Arabidopsis thaliana: one gene and its partners. The protein of the gene in region 4 interacts with the protein of the main gene of each other region in a pairwise test. Each region holds a gene or a part of one and is shown on either strand. Other genes may lie near its edges. The genes, in order: TCP15, NF-YB4, NF-YB5 and NF-YC8.

What was found.
Region 1: the proteins of NF-YC8 (region 4) and TCP15 interact in binary tests that used the Arabidopsis thaliana proteins (3 or more experiments, as listed by UniProt).
Region 2: the proteins of NF-YC8 (region 4) and NF-YB4 interact in binary tests that used the Arabidopsis thaliana proteins (3 or more experiments, as listed by UniProt).
Region 3: the proteins of NF-YC8 (region 4) and NF-YB5 interact in binary tests that used the Arabidopsis thaliana proteins (3 or more experiments, as listed by UniProt).

Annotation. Positions count from the first base shown.
Region 1 is NC_003070.9:26,214,373-26,218,690, reverse strand, and holds TCP15 (TCP family transcription factor), read right to left. Parts: upstream 2,683-4,318; 5' UTR 2,243-2,682; coding exon 1,265-2,242; 3' UTR 620-1,264; downstream 1-619. UniProt on the Arabidopsis thaliana protein: Transcription factor involved the regulation of plant development. Together with TCP14, modulates plant stature by promoting cell division in young internodes. Represses cell proliferation in developing leaf blade and specific floral tissues.
Region 2 is NC_003070.9:2,908,001-2,910,736, forward strand, and holds NF-YB4 (nuclear factor Y, subunit B4), read right to left. Parts: upstream 1,033-2,736; 5' UTR 1,031-1,032; coding exon 611-1,030; downstream 1-610. UniProt on the Arabidopsis thaliana protein: Component of the NF-Y/HAP transcription factor complex. The NF-Y complex stimulates the transcription of various genes by recognizing and binding to a CCAAT motif in promoters.
Region 3 is NC_003071.7:19,582,057-19,585,148, forward strand, and holds NF-YB5 (nuclear factor Y, subunit B5), read right to left. Parts: upstream 1,563-3,092; 5' UTR 1,365-1,562; coding exon 882-1,364; 3' UTR 602-881; downstream 1-601. UniProt on the Arabidopsis thaliana protein: Component of the NF-Y/HAP transcription factor complex. The NF-Y complex stimulates the transcription of various genes by recognizing and binding to a CCAAT motif in promoters.
Region 4 is NC_003076.8:9,940,090-9,943,294, forward strand, and holds NF-YC8 (nuclear factor Y, subunit C8), read right to left. Parts: upstream 1,359-3,205; 5' UTR 1,211-1,358; coding exon 647-1,210; 3' UTR 580-646; downstream 1-579. Other genes in the region: AT5G27920 (F-box family protein), read right to left, coding at 1,974-2,219, 2,307-2,601, 2,684-2,813, 2,910-3,205. UniProt on the Arabidopsis thaliana protein: Stimulates the transcription of various genes by recognizing and binding to a CCAAT motif in promoters.

The DNA of each region.
Region 1 (4,318 bases), on a different chromosome or scaffold from region 4:
ACTTGTGTATTTTTCTGTATAACGAAAAATTCCTGGTTATTTTGTATATCATCAATGTATATGTCTCAATTAATTATAGACATATATAATCTATGTTTCATCCAACGAAAACACTTCAGAAATAAATGATCAAGCTGAAATCTATAACCATCAAAAGTTTTTAGTTCTAACTTCAATCTATAAATTTGTTTATAGACATTGTTTTTAAAACACATTTTTCTCTGATTTTCAGCAGAAAATGAAATATATATTCTTGGTATTTTTTGGGTATCCGAAAATTCACAAATATTGACGTATAAATACAGGTTCCTGCTTGGTGATGAGTTTCATAGATCCAGAGATTGTAAATCGTACGTGAGTCTTCAAACATAGCACCAGACTAATTAAGTTCTTAGCTACCTTATACGGATAATGGACCTATATATTTTTTTTTTGATAATTCTCCTTGTATCTTTTGATTCATAATCAAATAATTTTGGTAATATCATTAGCAAAATTAAATGCCTTCAATTTTTGCAACGGCTATAAATTGAACGTATCCAAACCACCATGCGCATAAACCTACTGGCATTAATATGGCATCATATCTACAATGCATCCCCTCGTCAACACACTTATAATTAACCAAAACAATCACACTTAATGCTTTGACCTATATGATTTTGTTACTATATATATCTACATTATCTTAGCATAGTCACCAATAGACCAGTCAGGAGTAAGATGTTAATCATGCAAAGAAATTAACATATTAAAAGAGATAGCTAGAACCTGAATAATTGCTCACAATGCATAAGATGTAGCTTCTTCGAGACAATGTAACCATGAACGAAGTGGAAGATAATAATTTGGCATGCGAAATAATTTATTGATAATCCGTACTGAATTAATATACATATATAAAAATTGTTCAAAAACCCTAATCAAGTATTAGAAAACTCTCACACTCAATAGTAATGAGGAAAACATTTCACAAGACAACTACTTCAAGCAAAAATCTCTAGAATAATAAAACCAAAGCCTTGCATGCAAAAACCACAAACTAAAACATATCGATTATCAGGTTCTTAATTACTTACTCAATACATTAATCAGAAAAATAAACAAGATGAAATCCGTAGAATATTAGAATTTAGAAATAAATAAAAATATATGAAAAAGAAGCAATGCAAAAAAAACACGCTTGTTAAGAACAAACAAACAAACGAAAGGACAAAAAAAGAAAAATAAATCTCACAGAATATATTTGTTTGTGTATGTTTGCCTAGGAATGATGACTGGTGCTTCCATCTTCTTGATGGTTGTGATGATGATCTCCGTCACGGTTTTGCTGGTTGTTGTTATGGTTCCCCGTCTCCGCCACCGGTCGGTAAGCAGCATTCAACGCCGCTAAAACTCCATAATGGCTATGTTCTCCACCGCCACCTCCTCCTCCTCCATAACCAGAAGCCAAAGGCTGTCCAGAAAACAAAGCAATAGGAGCTGCAAAATTCATCAAATGAACTCCACTACCGCCGCCACTACCACCACTGTTGGGGTTGTAAACATCTCCGGCGACAACACCGGAATGATGAGGATTAATATTAAAAGCCCAAAGATTCTGTGTGTTGTCACCACTACTCCAAAACGGTGCCGTTGCAGGACTCTGACTCGTAGGTAAAGATCCAGCAGTTGATTGTACTAGATAGTTACCCATTTGGTTGTGATCTAAAAGCTGTGAAGAAGAAGAAGACGAAGAATGTGACTCGTTCTTGGGACGAACCTGATGCTGATGTTGAAGATGATGAGTCATGGACTGATGTGGTGAATGAAAGTAATAGCTACTAGGAGTTGTACGAAGATGAGCAGCAGAGAGAGAAGATCTTGAGCTACGAAGTGAGATGTTTAAAGAAGTGAAGTTAGCCGGAATGGTTCCAGTCCCTGTAGCGGCTATAACCGCTGGTTCTGCTTGTTGGAGTAGCCACTCAATAGTTTCACCGTCGGATTTGTGACCAAGCTCACGTGTGAGCTGAAAGACACGTGCAGCACACATGGCAGGCATACGGATCCGACGGCCTCGGCCTTCGACTTTGGTGTGTCGGTCTTTAGTAGAGGTTCGTTTAGGAGGAGGCTTCTTAGGTTCGGAGTTAGGTTCGGAAGTAGTAGAGATGATGGCTAAGGAAGTGGAAGAGGAGGAGGTAGAAGAATCAAGAAGCTGGAGAGGGAAGTTGGGTCGATGGTTATGATCCGGATCCGGATCCATGATGATGATGATGATGATGATCGAAGCTTTGGTGGTGGGGAAGTGGGACTATACTACTGTCTCTGTTAGATCTTTATGTGAGCCATAGTTTTTTTCTCTCTCTATAAATCTCTGTTTTTTTGCTGATACTTAGAGAGAGATAGAGAGGTTATAATATGGTCCTTAGGACATGAAACTCCTTTCAGATGGGAAGCTTAGCTGTGTCTATGTCTGAGAGAGAGAGAGAGATTAAAGCAATGAATATGAAAGCATGGACTTTTTTTTTCTCTTGCTGCTTTATATCTTTTGTGTTTTATTTTTGGAATTTTATTTACATTATAAACTATTCCCTTTGAGAATTTTTCGTTATTTTTGGAAATAAAAGAGATGGGCTTACGTGGTTCTCCAATCTGTACAAATATTCATTCAAATAAAATGTTTTTCCTTATTACGTACAGTGATCAAAGTGAGTGAAAATAAATGTTGTTCGTGTATTTATTGTGTTTGGATACATAGTTTTTTACAATAATACAATTACCCTATACGAACACTCTTTTTCATTCTTTACAATAATTAAAAAGTGACGTCAGTTTCTCGTCGTAACTGTTAACTTCAAGCGATCGGGAAATTAATTGCACATTTAGCGAAAATTTCAGCGATTCAGACAGAACTGAGAAGTTTACATATATTTTGTACATATGTGACAACAGAATAATAAATAGATAGAATTATTATTGACAGAATGACAGTGATTAATCCATGGCTCTATGGTAGTTCACGAGATCCACATGATATAATAGAATCCAACTGCTTTTTTTATGAAACAGATGGATTGTTTTTTCTCCTCTGTGACTCTTGAATGAGTTACCAGTTTGATATTATTATTTATAAAACCATAGTTACAGTGCTTTATAGATATATAAAAGCAAATTTGTAATGCTTCTCTTTTGTTTCCACCATTGGAGTTATCTCATTGACATACAATTGTCGTTAAAAGATGTAGCACTAAATTTAGAAAATTATTTTGATACTCTGATGTGGACAGAACATTGATCTTTTTTTTCTGAAACGAATTTTTATATGTAGTGAATAGTGATGAAGAAGGCTCCTTCTTATGTGATGATTATTCATATAAGCTGTTCAAAGAATCAAAATATACGGTGTTACATAGATTATACTACTAATTAGGACCAGCGTAATATATATATATATATATATATATATATATATATGGTAACGTTAAAAATATAATTGAATTAGAGAATACAAAAGAAAAAAATAATATAAAAGTAAATTCGAATTATTATGAAGATATTTTAAATAAATATTTTTTAAAAATCTCAAATTTGTGTTTTATAGAAATTGAGTGTAACAAAATAAATCCAAGTTATTACATAAACCAACATAAGCATGCATATAATAATTGCCAGGTAGTATATTTGAATATACATATGATTTTGTTAAAAGAAATGGAGAAAACCAATTATAAAAATTCTTACACATATTAATTTTGAGTTTAGGCAAATTCATCTTTCTTAGTATATATTGAAAATTGTAAAATATATTTGTTATAATCTTACTATTCTTTTTCAAATGTCTAAGCTTTATGAAGATAAAACTTCTCAAAAATCAAAATATAGTATTTTCTATTGTGGCTAATTATCGTCTCTTAGTTTAGACGAATCATTAACGTTACGTGTAAGGTGTAACTAGTTCTGATGATCTCTTAGGAACGTTGATTAGTCTAACTATTAGAAACTTTACGCATAGCCACATAAAACCTATGGGATGTCCAAACATTTTCGCCCAAACATATTTACAAATGACAAAATTTTATATTTTAATTACTTATATATGTGATATCTTTTTATGTTTTAACTAGAATATGTTCATTGACCATAATTTTCCCTCGTAAAATATAAATAACTAAAAGTATCGGCCTGCTTGTAGTAATTAGTAAACCAATCAAAATATCAAGAAAACTATATATCAAAGACTAAACAGAAAAGAAAACGAATTGATAGTTAAAAGGTGTTGTGCATATTTGACAAATCTAAAAAGCAAAACAATTACGATTCACAAATATGATCAGAAGAT
Region 2 (2,736 bases), on a different chromosome or scaffold from region 4:
TCTACTTACATGTGAAATAAAATCTGGCAAGTGTCAACTTTCTAAGCTTCCTTCTCCTTTAATGTGAACTAATTACTTTCTGACTTCTTTAGGATTTCATTTTAAATGGTCAAGTCCCAATGCTCCTTTATTTTGGTTAACACTAGCCTCAGGCTCCAGAAGGCCATTAGGCATATGGGGATTAAAAAATATCATTGTTCTAGCCACTGTAACAGATCCATCAATGGATATATGCGGTAAGATATACAAAAAGCTCTTATTTTTTGGCCTATTATGTTTATGGAAAGCCTTGGATCGACCTATGCGGTGATATATATACCAAAAGGAAAAAGAAAACCAAAATCATCTTGCTAGTACCTTGTTTCTGCTATCTTCTCCTCTTCCTATTGTTCGAACCGACCAATATTCTAAGTCTAAATTACACGTTATTTGCTTGCAAGAAGAAATATCATAGATTTATATATATGTATGTAGAAACTCATGTTTAGAAATCAATTACAAACATGTACATTGTATTAATGATTCAACATTGACATTATTGAATCCTTCTGGTCTCTCTACAGATCTTTCTTGGCTTCATAGTAAATAATTCAGAACTTAGATGTCTAGTTCAACGGGCCGAGGAGCTGCTTCCCTTCTCAACAACTCTAATAAATTTTGTCGATTGGTTCTGTACATCACTTCTAGTGTTGGTTTCTTTCTCATTCCCACTATCATTGCTACCTTTGTTGTGCTCAGTTCTTTCTCTCTCGGCTTCACGGTACTTGTGAAGATGCCTACCCACGGCGTCAGCATAGTTATCGAGGCCGAGAGTGCTGAGAGCCCACCAGATGTCGTCTCCATTCACCGTCTTCCGATTCTCCCTGTGGCACTTCTCTGATGCTTCGCATGTAACAAAGCTTATGAACTCTGTTGCACATTCTTGAACTGTTTGTTTTGCTTCTTTTGAGATCTTTGCATTTGATGGTAGGATTTGCTTCATAAGTCTCCCTACATTGGCTATTGGCAACAATCTATCTTCGTCTGTCATTTTTCTCTTTTGTTTCAGTGAATCTATCAGCTCTCGCTTCTCTTATAACCTTTTTATACAAGTTGTCCTATATGACCCTCCCTCTCTCTATATATAGATTATATAGGGTGTGTATGTGTATGATGAGTAGATGTACTACTTGAACCTACTCTTAATTTATTACATACTATATATATAATATATGTCTAAGATTCTCTCTGTATATATGTATGTGAATTAAGCTTATATAAGCTATAGCAGAATCGTTTATACCTGTTTGGTGATTGTGGCTTAGCTTTGATCCATATGCATCATCAATCCGTCTAATACATACGGATATCTACGTACAGTACTGTATATGACAAGTTAATACTAAATTAATATCTAAAATTAAATCTTAACTTTAATTTTGATTAGAGCGTAGCTACTTTGGTAAAAGAAATTATTCTTGATGAAGCAATGGTTGGCTTATGGAATGTCAAAACCTTAATTGTATTATAGAAAATATGAAATTCGAGGCACGTAATCCGCATAATCCAGTACGGCCACTCGCATGCATTTGACCTTTGGTTTTAATATGTTTTAAAAATAAATACTTATTTAATTATTAGCAATACTGCGCAAAAATTCACCAAATCTATATAAAAGGCAATAGCTAAAAACAAAATATTGAGAAATTTCGTCGTTAGAAGTTAACCAATACAAATATTCAATGGGTCTATATTGGCCAAGTCATTGGTTTATATACTAAGAGCATGTGCATTTTAGATATGGGTTCAAACCCTAAGCATATTGTAAGCCACATGAGGCATTATGAAACGTCAAACTATCACGATTTTGTATCTTGTGGATTTGGATTTGGATTGTCTAAATATAATGATTTTATAATATTTTGTATAATCAAGAATTCCTAATGAATTGGTGATCGTAGGTGAACGTCTCTAGTCGAATATGTATCCTAATTTTTGGGGAAAATGATAAACCTTTCGTTTGGGAAAAAATATCGTAGAAGATGTGTGAACACACATTTTGTTCGAGTTCTTGCTAGTCTATTAACGGAAAGATGGAAAGTTTCAGGCATTTCCTTCTTCTTCTTTTTTTTTTTTTTTGGAGTTCTTAGAGCATTTCCTTTACATTCTGCACTTTATTCATGGTATAGAGAGGCTTAACTAATCATTATAATCTTTTTAAAGACATATATTTACGTAAGAACTTAGAATATACGCACTTAAAAAAAAAAACCTAGAATACGTCATTAATTAAAAACCGGATTATGCGATTTAAAAAGATGTTCTACATACTTCGAAACTGAGTTGACTTAACCATTCACAACCAATTAGAAAAAAAGTGTATGTAAAGTTTTATTTCTTTGTGAAAAGCATCACACTTTTTGCCCTTAATTTATCAATTGCATCACACTTCAATTGGAAAGTTGTTAACGGTCTCCTATTTTTTGCTTGCTAATTATATTGTATGCTTAAACATGATAATTAATAATTCGCCAATGCTGTCTTTTGTAACCCATGGAGTATTTTATTATTCTCATTTCATAGTGTATTGGTGGGTTTATTATTCTCTTTTCCAAATTCCAAGTCGGATCCCAAACTGAAAACAATTTTACGGTTTGCATGCCTTGAAATGATAGAAGAACCATATGGGCTTTCTGTTTTCTGATATTAAGTTTGTTTCACTTTTTCTTCGTCAATGGGTCCTTCAATTTTTAGCCC
Region 3 (3,092 bases), on a different chromosome or scaffold from region 4:
TTATTTCTTAGTACTATATACTGTTTAGAAAGTGAATCACGTCGAAAATAGAATTAATCTATATCGACATAAGGTCTAAATATCAATTAGGCTTTAAAGAAAACAATATCGAAGTAGTAAATTTTATTTTTCTATATGATGTGTACGGAATAGCTAGCATTTTAGTGTGGATAAATGAATGCGAATAATCTATATGCAAATGCCATAATCTAAAAATATATCTAAATACTGAAAGTCGACTAAGTTTCGCTTTTTGTCGAAAGAAATCAATTGATTTAACTGAATAAGAATTCCACAAACTACGAAATTGCAAAGTTGATTTCTTATATATAGAGGGTTAAGTAGTCTAGATCAGAGGAAAGGGACATGGTAGTATATATCCTCACTGTCGAAATTAATCTACAAAGTTGATGATATATTAGTTCATCTTCATGATTGACGGTTTTAAAAGTTAGATGGTAAACAGTTAAAAACCGGTTTGGTTGGTTGTGGCAGGACTTGTGTTGTTGTATGATGCTCGATTTAATTTTATTTAATTATACCAGTCGAAAATTAATTAAATCTGAATAAATTGTTTAAAAAGCATTAATGAAGCAACCAAAAGAAAATCCCGAAAATGGTTCATAATATACACATCGATCGATCTCCACTCCAATATATGTAAATAAATAAAAATATAGAAAATAACAAAATCAGCTGGAAGAATTAACACAGATTTGTTCAGTACCTCACACCACATACATGTTATATCATCATATACATAAAATTTATTTATATATGTAGAACAATATATGAGAAGATAGAAAAAGATAGCTGGTCCTAAAGAGGAAGATGATGACATGGAGATTAATCAAGGAAAATCAAAAAGCGATGGAAGAATTTTAATTATCTGGCGAGGATTTAGGTCCTCCTTTGCCGTGATGATTAGGTTTCTCACCTTCGAGAACTCGGTAACGATGTAAGTACTTCTTGAGCTGGGCGGCGTAATCATCAAACCCTAGATTAGCCATAGCCCAACAGATATCGTCTCCATTAACGGTCTTTCGCTTCTCCTTGTGGCATTTATCGGATGCTTCTCCCGTGACGAAGCTAATGAACTCGGACACACATTCTTGCATAGTCTCTTTGGCTTCTTTAGAGACCTTTGCGTTTGCTGGGAGGATGTTCTTCATGATCCTTCCTACGTTTGCTATCGGAAGTAGCCTGTCTTGTTCTTTTACCATCATGCTTTCTTCTTGCTGTTGATCCTCCACCACCACCACTAACCCATCATGTTCATGTTGATGATTAGATGAGCTGCTCCCGAAGTTGTAATTCTGGTATCGAGGGATTGGATTTTGGAACGAATGATAATTCCCCGCCATCAGAATCTTATAATTAAAGCAGAGGATCTATAAATCTTGTTTGGTGAGGGGTTCGTTTCAGTATGATTCACAACAACGAATGATGATATAGAACGAAGATATGTAATTTGCCAAACTATATGGCACACAGAAAAAGGAGAGGTTTTAACATAAATGTGTTTATTATGTATACATCTAAAAAAATATTCGTTTTGACAGAGAGATTTGTGTAGTTAAATTAGCTTTATATATAAGTAGAAAGGCAAGAGAGCTAATTAAGGAGTATCTATCTATGTTTGTCTGGTCAGAGAATGGTGGTGACGTGTCATACAAACCAATGAGAGTGGTCTAGGTCACAGGGGAGACAATGTGGCAGGTCTAGCTAATTTCTCTCTCTCTCAATTTTCTTCTAATTATTTTCTCCTAAACCCTTTTGGTTGAGTTAAAACAATTAAAATGTAATCATAGAATAAGATGTGTTGCAAACAAAATAATGTTGAAATGTGTTAAGAATATATAACACATATATCATTCCTTTAGTAGTGAATTATCTCGCCTTTGGGAATGAATATGATATGATATCCTCAACGTACGTGAAGGCGAAAATAGTTTGGGGTTGATGACGTACTTGATGTTACCCTAAAAAGGAAGTTTTGGTCCTCCTGCTTAAGTCAATACCGTCTATCTGTGGATTGACTCCACACTCCAGTTAGTCTGGAAACTCTCCTCAACCAAAAATTATTCAATTATTCCACATTCCTCCTTAAGAGCTAGTCACTTTAATAAACGATAATATCGAACTCGTGGACCATATAAAAGCACGTCTTGTGGTCTATAATTAGTAGTCTGCTTGCCAAAATTGAAGAGGCTATAAATAATATTTGGTTGAATTATATTTTCAACTACTTATTAATAATGTTGTTTTAAAAAAAAAATCGTTTTTTAACTAAAATATTTTATATTTTCGAACTGAGGAAATACATAATTTTTTGTTTCACCACACTTTTGATATATATATTTTGTCAACACATTAGGTTTTTCTTATCCATCTAGAACTCAATCTCGATGATATAACCTACTTTAATCAAACTACCATTTAAATTCTATGAACTTTCAAATCAAAACTAGTTGGATTAATAATATATATATATATATATATATATATATTTCCTCTTATATGTGATTTTATGTTTTTACTTACTTTTTACCAGTATTTAATTATTAGACGAAATTTAGTTTATATCCGCAAAACAGTGATTTAGTTAGTTAACTAGCTATTTATATTTTAAACTTTAATTTATTTTGATTGGCTATACAGCATTATGTAAATTCTGCATTATATTGAGACGAAAACATTTACAAGCTTTGTCGCCTTACTATGGATGAGAATAATATGAGCTGTTTAGCAAAACATTCCCATTTATTATTTAAAGAAGTAATGTAAAGATAGATTTATAAATTACATAGAGGATTTTACAAGATTTTGGAGAGCATGGTGTTCTAGAAGTATGATATGTTGGCTATTATTTTATGTTATTTGTTTTCCCGAAAAACCTAAGTCATTAGTTAAATATTACAGCTACATATACATATATGTAAAATCATTAACAAAGTGAGGACAAGTGTCGACCGATGGTGGATCGGACCACCTTGAAACGGATAAACAAATGTTGAACGCCTTTAGATATTAATTAATTATTGAACGATGCATGATGACGTTCATAGCATTTCTATATTATAAACAGTAAT
Region 4 (3,205 bases):
ACGGTGAGAACCCTATGCAGGATACTTATGTAAGTATACATGGGAAGACATAGAAGAAGATAGAGATAGAGGGGAAAAAGAACCAAACTTTAGATCTGGCCACAATCGTTAATTTCTATGCAATTGAAGTATAAAGAGGAAGAAATAGAAGAAGATCGGCAATAAATAAACGAAAATCAATGGCTTACCTTACCAGATTCGTCGGCAAGGGGAGGATCAGAAATTAATACTTGGATTGCTAACGGCGACAAGAACGAGAAGAAGGTTTCAAGGAGACAATCAAGTTCTGGGCTTGATTGAAGAAGATGAGAGTAACCGACGGTGAACGCAATCGCCAACGACGGCGCTAGATTTTGGGAGGATATTTTGCGGTGTGAAGAAAAAACAAGATTTTTATTTTCTCATATATTACTTTTGGTGCGAGAGAATGAATATAATGTTAGCTTCTGAATATTTCAAATTTCAAACCGAGAATCATCACGCTCCCAAATAGTGTATTGTCCCCTCAATGTCTAAGGTTATACATGTAATAATACATGTGTTTCCGACAGAACATTGTATCTCATGGCTATTTCTTTAAAAAAATTAGATCCATGACTATTTACTACATATTCCCTTGAAAATACCCTAAAACGTATTCCACTTATTAGTTTCCGTCGTCACCTCCTTTTTTCCCACGCGCTTCTTCCTCCTCACCAGACACCGAGGTCCAAGCTCCAGGCCATGCCTGCATTTGTGGTTGTGGTTGGTGGATTCCAAGACTACAACAAACAGGAGTTCCAATTACCATTCCTGGAGGCAGCTCTCCATCGTCAATAGGTGGCATGGCCACAGGATCAGCAGCGGCGGCAACAGACTCTCTCTTTACCTCAATGTCATCATCAAGCAAGAAATCAAAGATAACAGTTTGAGCCACTGCGGCATCGACATTAGATTTCTGTAGCGTGACTCGTTTGCTTTCCTGAGCATGGAGCCACGAACGCATCGTGAGATCCATGATAAACATCTCACATGCTTTCGAGAGGAGGATTGGAGCCTCACTAGCTATCATAGTCACATCCGGATCATACTTCATAATCTTCTTGATACGAGTTATAGGAAGGTCGTGATTTTTGAAATCTAAGTTACCTTCCATCTCTTTTGACCAGAAACTCTTCAGTTGCTCGTTACCTTTCGGTGGCAGCTGGTTGTTGCCGTTGTTGTTCTCCATAAGATTTTTTTCTTTTTTGAAGTTTCTAGTGTTCTAGGCTTGTTATTTTTTTATTTGAAGATTTGCATATATAAAGGAAAAGCTTAAGCATAGATTAGATATGGTGGGATAGTAAGCAGGTAAACTTTTACAACAATGAATCTTAACGCATTTAGTATATTGTTAAGAATATTTAATGATATTAACATTATTTGTTTGACTAACATTATTTGGTTATTATTATAAGAAGAAAAAAGAAAGTGATTTATTTTTACTTAAAGTGTATATATTATACCAATTAATAGTGTTAGAAAAAAGAAATAAAGTAAATACAAAACTATATTTTCTCTATAAAATTGCAAGATAATTTTTTGCTGTACAAAACTTATTTTGAATTATTTAGTTAAAAAATATGTTTTCAAATGTTAAATGTGAAAGCATAATTCATATCATTGCTCGAACACAAAGGAGTTACATGTTGCATCTGATTGGTTTAGCTTTCTGTTAGACTTCAAAAACATATGATCATCAGTTCATCACATAGATCTATTACACATCAACAACTTTCTAACTAGAAATCATTACTTAAGCGTTGTCCGATCTTTTTTACCGGTTATAGCAAAATATTTTACCGCAGCAATTCACTTAAACCGATTCATTTATATGGATCCAAAACAAACCGCTACTAAAGTTTCACTGATTTTTAACATTGAGATTATAAACATCAAAAACCTACAACAGTATAAACTAACCAACACAAGAAACCGCGTTGTTCTTTATGTTTTCAGTCCCATCTAATGCGGCAACCACGAGCATGAAGCGTCTCGAGCAATTCCGATGAGAGCAAGAATCTGAGAGGTGCGAGAAGTTTAAGCTTCTTGAGCCTATTGCAACAGGCTCTTAGAGCAAACTCAAACCCTTCTACAGTCACACGGCTCAGATGAACTAAGTCAACGTCTTGAACCCGACTCAGATTGCTCATCAACATGCATAGAGCCGTATCAGACACCGAGCAATTGCACAAGTTTATCTGCCAAACAAAACACACAACACAAGAATCAAACATGTTTCCAATAGATGCTTCCAGATCTCCATCTATAAATGTTATTTTTTGTACCTGTCGTAGGTTTTTCGAGAAGTAAGCGAGCGCCCAAAAACCCGAATCATCAATATTCTCGCAGAGTTTAACGTCCAAGTAACCCAATTTCTTGCAGCCGGACGCAATGGCTGCTAAACCAACACCGGTTATATTCTTTAGCCCTCGAAGTTCGAGGTGACTTAGAAGTTCTAGCTGCCGGATTTGTTCAACCCCGGTGTCAGTTAGTTCACAGCAGTATGATAGAATGAGTCGGTTCAAGCTCTTGCAACCTCGAGATAAAGCTGCTAAACCATCATCTCCAAAACCGGCACAGCTGCACTCAAAAACCAGAAATCAGTAAGAAAACGAAACATGTCTTGCACATTTTTCATCAAGAATCCACCAAGAAAGTGTACCGGTATAGATCAAGTTCTAGAAGCTTCGAACATTTGGAACCAATATGGAAAATCCCTTTGTCTGAGATATTTGTGCAGAGTCCAAGTTTCAATCTTTGAAGATTCGAACACTTCGAGATATATTCTAGCCCTGCGGTCCCAACGGAACAAAAAACCGTAAGATACCAAAGATGACAATATCTAAAACACAAACGGAGGTTTGAGTTCACATATATCTTTCTATTACCTCTGTCATTTACACCATAACAGTCAGTAAGATCAAGTTCTTGAACAAGCATGGAGTAACATCCAAGCGATTGAAGACCTTTCTCAGTTATCAAATGACAAGACTCTAACTTTAAAGTCCCTAGATTCCGGCAAGACTGAGCTACAGCAGAGATGGCTACATCCGTCACGAATCCGCAACACGCCAGATTTAATGTTTTCAGGTTTAAGCAGTTGCGTGCAAGACTTATCATCCCAATATCCGTCACATCAACACATCTGCTCAGTCCAATCTCCATTAAAGATCTACAGCTAGAG